2 linked regions of the Caenorhabditis elegans genome follow. The protein of the gene in region 2 purifies or fractionates together with the protein of the main gene of each other region. This does not show direct contact. Each region holds a gene or a part of one and is shown on either strand. Other genes may lie near its edges.

Region 1 (3,484 bases), 1.3 Mb from region 2:
CAATAAATCAGAGTTTATCACTGACGAAGATGAGCTTATCACCCTGGTTCAGAATAATTACACACGATCTGTCAGTGATTAAGAATCTTTATCTCAATTTTTAATTTTTCAGTGTAATTCCTGCTATTGTTGATTTTTTTTTCCTTTTGTTGTTGAACTTTTTAAAAATTTAATTTATCGTCTTGTTCTATGTAATATTTCAATTTTCAACGTTTCTTCGTTGTTTTAATATTTATTACTCAATATTCTCAATTCACAATGGAAAATTTTCGACATTCAGTATGGGTGAAGGCTTAGTGGAGCAACGTCAAGCTGACGATAAAGCATCTTGGGATGCTTACTGGAAAGTTCGTGATATCGATTCACGAGGATCCATCTACCCACGATTCCGTTATTATGCCCATAAGGCTTTCGACGCCCCAGCAACTTGGTTCAGAGGTAATTTTTAAAATTCTCAAGTTGGAGAATCATTTAAAGAAGAAGCAGCTTTGAAATTAGATTTAAAACCATTTACAAAATGTAAGAATTGACAGAAAACAAATTTCGTTCAAGTTTATTTACTTTCACCATTTGTTTTAATTCCAAGTAATTGATACTGTCTACGGTTTTATCCAGATTCAAAAAATTTGGGAACTTGTGGTGCAAGTAAAGGTTAATTTCTAATTCCCATATCATTGCTGTAAATTATAATTTTAAACTAGAAAAAAACCAAAGTTATTCGACTACCTCAAGCTGATGTACAGTTAGTAGTTGCAGTTCCACATAATAAATCAACTAGGCAAAACAATCCATTTTAATCTATTCTACTAACTCGTCAGCTTTTCAGAGACTATTGTGCAACCACTCAACAACAAGAACCGTCTACCCTACTATCACCGTCAACTTACACGTGTTCCGGAAATCGACGAATGCGGAGTGAACGACAAGGCCTGCTTCTACGAAGCCAATGAGCAGTACCGTCTTGATAAAATGGTCGATGGATTTATTCTGCAAACCCTCCGCCAACGTGTTGATCGGTGTATGCTTTACAACAATCCTGATCATTCACCATGTGCCAAGGTTATTGAGGATATGGAAGAGAATGAGTTGAATTTCTTCATGAAATACGGAGAGTTGGGAGGAGAATCCGATGTTCGTGATGCTTATATGAAGCAGAAGCATCGAATGATCTGGGAACGACGTCATCCAGAGATTATGGATGAGCGTGCAGCTAAGCTTGCTGATCATAAAGCACGACTTGCTAATGGAGAGTTTGACTATTCATTCTGGAAGAAGGGAATGTTCTATCAAGACAAGAAGAACTATGAGCCACCATATGAGTTCCAAATGAGCAAGTCAGCACTCGAGGGTGACAAGCCATTGTCCAAGGATTGGGAATACTACAAGAAGGTAAATATTCTTTCAAGATTTAATTTTAAAAAAGAAGCTACGAGAGAATCCTGGATCGAAAATTAAAATTTTATATTTTCAGGTCTCACAAGACCCAGAATTCGACAAGGATCAAGGAAAGAAGTCCGACTTCCGTCTCTTCTAATTCTACGCTGTCAATCTTTTCTTTTTCAATGAAATTTTTTAGAACGAATTGTGTTGAGTTTTCTTATTCCGTCGTAACAACTTTTTTTTCTTTTTCATGTTGCGTTCTTTTATTCCATTCAGAAAGTGAATAAATGTAGATTGTTTGATTGATTTATAAAGATTTGAATATGAATTTATGAGAAACGGAAATATTACCAGTCAGCTTTTCTTTTCAAATTAATTTAAATCAAAATTTAACTTTTTTAAGTTTCGGAAATGATACTGACATTTGCACGAAGTCTCTACACACAGGGGCAGTATAACGGAAAAATAAGGTTTTATTTTTAAATTAATTGTTTCTTTTTGAATTTGAGTTTTCAGAGAATATTTTTACTATGTGAGCCACAATGGTTTCCTATTTCTGGACGATTCGAGAATGAAGAATTTTACAGCGGCTTATAAAGGTTTATTTTACAGGAAAAACTGTTAACAAATCGAAATTTCAGATATTCAGTTTCTTAATTTCTTCTACAGAAAGATCAAGGAAAACAAGACGGGAAGATATGAGGTAAAACGCGAAATTTGCGATTTATCAACAAAAATACGGTAGCCGGTCTCGACACGACAATTTTTGTTGAATGAGAAAAGGTGTGCGCTTTTAAAGAGTACTGTAATTAAAAACTGTGATTTCTGCCGGATTTTTTTATTGATGTTTCCAATTCTTTCTATAAAATAATTCGACAGAATCTTAAGTTTTAATCTACAGTAATCTTTAAAGGCGCACACCTTTTCTCGTTTAACAAATATTTGTCGTGTCGAGACCAGGTACCGTATTTTTCACTTCAAAAATGTTGAAATTTCGTTTCTGGGTAATCTGAAAGTGTTCTAGATTTTCGATCAATTCCTATCGAATGCAATTAATTAAAGTTTCATCCATTGAATTGAGCTTAAATACTCAATTAAAAAATCGTGGAGGGAGCTGAAAAAAAATTATATGAAATTTCAGGATACATTCCCGTGGGTAAGCCTTTGTGGAATTGAGCGAAACTTTCTGAGATGCGACGACACTCCACTTGTTTACACGGAACTCGACTCCACTGAAAAAGAGCTCCGAATCGGGCAATCAACCATTTACCATTCGTTTCAAGTAAGATGAAGCACAGATTTTTCAGATCTGTATTCTAAAATTTCAGCCCTCATCACTTTCAATGAATTCAAGCGGCCGTGTTTATCACAAATGTCCGATTGGTGGAAAAGCACTGGTAGCTGACAAATTGACGGATAAACTGTATCGCCGGTTCCGATTTGACGATGACGGCGTTCCAGTCGGATTTCAGTGCGGGGAGCAGATAATTGAGCTTAAGAAATGAAATAAATAATAATTAATGTATATTGTCTGATGGAAAGTATCTAATGAAGTATTTAAAATAAAAATAATGTTAAACGTGAACCCTTTTCAAATTTATTTCCACGCCCTTTGGCGGCCTTTCAAAATCGATTTTTCAAGTTTTCGTTTATTCCCTGATCTTCCGGGAGTTATCTCCTCCACGTTGCATTATGGATGTTTGTAGGATTTTCAATCGGATAGGTCAGTTGCGAGACGTAACATTCTAAAATGAGCTTGTTTGGATGGGTCTTGCCGCGAAAACTTTACGGTAGCATGGAATTTAACGCGTTACCATAAACTTTTGATCGCAACTAGACCCACTCAAATAAATCTGTGCGCCTTTAAGCAGAGAATTAAAATTACAATAAAAATATTAAATATCGATGATCACCCTTTTTCAGTATACTTTTTGGTGGAAAAATCGTTGGGCGATATCTCGAAATTCGACCCATTTGATGTATTGAAGCTCGTCGCATTGTGGGGTGGACGTGTGAGATTTTTTGATAATTGGAAGCACAACCAGAGAGAAAGGCAGAAATGATAGTTTTTCAGTTATGTCTGCTGATTTTCGTGGGCACACTC
Region 2 (3,354 bases):
TGTTTTAATATTTCAGAGAAAATCCGATATAATTAATGTTGAAAAACTTCCTGTCGGTTTCAAAAATGAATACATCGACTTTTACTTGAAACATAATGAATAAAAGATATTTCGAATGTTAAATAAAAAAGAACAAGCGAAAATCCTGCGAAAAAATGAATTCACACTTGTCCAGGTGTAGTACAATACCCTTCGTAAATCTACATCATCGAACCGCGCCGCAGTCTTGCAAAACCAGACCTTGCAAAATTAACTGGTTACTTGTTTTGTTCCGACAGTATATTTAAAATCCAACTTACGACTAGAAATAGCTTGAGCTCAGTGAAAACCATTTCCTCTTGTTCTTCTGGTAAAACATTATGGAATTGACTGAATGGTGTTGGAATGGACATATACCATGGTGATGGTTCATCACAGACACGTACTCCTTGCCATTTGCTCACTAAAAGATACGAAATTAACAAAAAACTTTGCTTTTTCAAATCTTACACAAACTACGGCGAATATCCCTCCACGGCTCTCTATCCTTGTGAGCAGTTCGCATCATCTAAAAATTTAAATTTTACTTAAACGGAATTACTGTGAGCAAGAGAACAAGGGAAAATACACGGAAAATCAAATAACGACTAGAAAATAATTAAAATAAAAAGAAATGACTAAAGATCCGGCGAGAATTGTTGATTTGTGTCTAACACGAGTCCATCTTTCACTTCAATTATGGACTTATTTTCGCGGGAATATTGAAATTTCGGGCTTTTTCCATAAATCCATTTCCAGGCTTTCAACTCATCAAAGATTTTCGATATTTCTGCATTTTTCTTCACTTCCTCTGCAACATTCACAGTTTTTATATGTGATTCTTCGAACAGTTTTCTGAAATTTTTTAATGATTGGAAGTTTTTAGTTGCTCCGTTCACCTATAAGCTTCAACAATGGCTAATTTTGATTGTTCGACATTTGCATTGGCATCATCTTGTTTCAGAAATCCAACAGCCGGAGCTCTTACGCTTCTTGTAGCATTTGATTCGATTTTATCTCTCCATGGAGATTTCAAAGATTTTGATAATACTTGAAGATCCGCACCGACGAGGAGTGTTAGATGGTGATAGGCTTGACCTCTTAAATTATTCACATAACAAGTGTTTAAAATATTTTTTTTAAAAATACCGCGCAATTCTTGCAGCTGTTCCTGAGCATTTCCGTTCTCCTGGATGTAGTTCCATGTCATCACGCTTGTTTGGAACGATTTTAACAGAAAATTGTTGATTTAGAGCATCCGAAATGAACTGGAAATAATAAAATGATATTTTTATTATTTTGAAAAATGATATTAATACCTTCAAGTTTTTTGGCCGACAGTGTTGTGCGTGTGTTGTTAAAAGTGAAATATTCAGATTTCCTAGATCATGATAAACAGTGCCTCCTCCACTGTGCCTTCGGACAATTTGAATATTATTTTTGTTAGCATATGGTATGTTGACTTCAATCCACGGATTTTGATGTCTTCCGATGACTACAGCCGGTCGATTACTCCACATGAGCAGGATTTCCCCGTTTTGAGCGACATTGTGAGTCTGAAATCAAAAACTATAGCAAAGGCACTGAAATTACTGCTGAACTGACCCTGAAAATATGCTCCTCATACGCAAGATTTTCGAAAATGCAGCTTGACGTGGATTTCAGAACTGTGGACAATTTTCCGCGTGATATAGAACACATTTAACAAGAAAAATAAATTAGGAAAAGGTAAGAAAACTGTTTATTTGCAAGATTTGAGAAGAAGAGATTGCTAGCATTAAGGAGACGCAGACATTCAGTAATTGCGCTCCATTTATGACATTGTGGCGCGAGCGTTCAAAACATAAATTTTACTTTTTTTTCATTGATTTTTGTTTGATCTAAATTTCCGAAAGCTACCTGAAAACTGTTTAACGCTTTTCTACTATAAAATCGTCACCTTAAAATCTTTTTTAAAATATAATTTTTGTGTGAATTATAAAAATGCACAGTAGCAGTTTAAAGGCACACTTCTTAGTTCAAAGAAATGGTCTTATCACGATTACAGTACCCAACCTGAACGCGGCGCGAATTCCGGATTTATCCCCAAAACGTTTTTTTCCTCCGTTTTAGGTGGCCATTTGTACCGCGTCCAAAACGCGTAAAAGTCCCCAAATTGTCTTCTTTGTTCGACAATTGCACTGAAAACTGACAAAAAACTAACAACATCGGGACTTTTTCGCGTTTTGGACTCGGCATTGAAACTAATATCGCTGTGTCTTCCTTCCTGATTTATTCGTCTTTATTTTTTGTATTTTTCAGAATCAAAATGGATAATAACGTTGAGGATAAAAAAGAGGCAATGCTCAAACGATTAGCAAATCGACACGGTAACAAGATATTTATACTTTATCTCATTATTTATTTTCTTCCTCTTTCAGAGAAACGCCTTCTTGATCAAGTCAAATCGAACACAAAGAAGATCGATTTGAGAGCAACCGAGCGAGCCTTTTTGGAGTCGAGTCCGACTTCAATGAATATGCGAACTCCTCTCAATCCTTCAATCAGCTCTTCTGTATCAGATTCCCCGATTCTATCATATGATGAGAAAGCCAACAAGCAAATTATTGCACTCGCCACGTGGTGCAACACAATGATGGAATTGGATGTGTCTGAAGAGATGGATCTAGGAGAGTCGAAAGCAGAAGCCTGCAGAAATATCCAAAAAATGTTGAAGAAAAGATCAGATACGTCAGAAGTGGAAAATACACAGGAAAATGCACGCAGGAGATATCAACGGATTTTTGAGAAAAATGATCCAGAAGTTGTGAAGAAAAAGTGCAAGCAGCTTCTAGACGATTCAGGAATGGATGCAAGCATCAAGGATCTTCTGTCCAAAAACAACGTCGCAATCCGAAAAGAACATGCCGTATATAATGACATAGGCCTCCAAACAACTCTTCTTCACACATTTCTATCATTCCATCCTGCTTGGCTGAAAACTGCTCTTGAAGCAATCTTTAACACGAGAATTGACGCTCAACCGAAGCATTTAATGAAAAAACTTTCTCAGTTTTTCCTCGATCTAGTTTTCTCAAATCCGACGATGCTAAAGAACAAGAAATTTGCACAAGGTTCTGGAAAGTAAGTTGCTGATTTCAGAGGATGAACGAGTTCGTTAAAATTATGCCTAATCAAATTTTTGCAGACCGATCATCACTGAGGCTGGCAAAGAAGCTCTACACAAGCATTTTCTGTCCGTCTCGATGAAGCTGATGTTCTTGATTGAAACGGCACACACTCATCGAGTTATCCCGAATCTGACGAGAATCTTCACGAAGTCCTCTCATTTCAATT

Evidence for each region. The genes of interacting proteins can lie anywhere in the genome.
Region 1: the proteins of lipt-1 (region 2) and F59C6.12 fractionate together in Caenorhabditis elegans (co-fractionation; one large-scale study listed by BioGRID). This does not show direct contact.

What each region holds. Positions count from the first base shown.
Region 1 is NC_003279.8:10,519,080-10,522,563, forward strand, and holds F59C6.12 (UPF0598 protein F59C6.12), read left to right. Parts: upstream 1-1,783; 5' UTR 1,784-1,791; coding exon 1,792-1,850; intron 1,851-1,896; coding exon 1,897-1,979; intron 1,980-2,021; coding exon 2,022-2,083; intron 2,084-2,521; coding exon 2,522-2,662; intron 2,663-2,708; coding exon 2,709-2,885; 3' UTR 2,886-2,948; downstream 2,949-3,484. Other genes in the region: exos-3 (Exosome complex component RRP40), read left to right, coding at 1-82; ndub-10 (NADH dehydrogenase [ubiquinone] 1 beta subcomplex subunit 10), read left to right, coding at 282-438, 827-1,389, 1,472-1,534; dhhc-12 (Palmitoyltransferase), read left to right, coding at 3,073-3,103, 3,304-3,392, 3,455-3,484.
Region 2 is NC_003279.8:9,225,356-9,228,709, reverse strand, and holds lipt-1 (BPL/LPL catalytic domain-containing protein), read right to left. Parts: upstream 1,806-3,354; 5' UTR 1,720-1,805; coding exon 1,624-1,719; intron 1,575-1,623; coding exon 1,338-1,574; intron 1,287-1,337; coding exon 1,168-1,286; intron 1,119-1,167; coding exon 918-1,118; intron 874-917; coding exon 657-873; 3' UTR 548-656; downstream 1-547. Other genes in the region: gip-2 (Gamma-tubulin interacting protein 2), read right to left, coding at 300-442, 490-547; aspm-1 (Calponin-homology (CH) domain-containing protein), read left to right, coding at 2,327-2,387, 2,439-3,141, 3,206-3,354.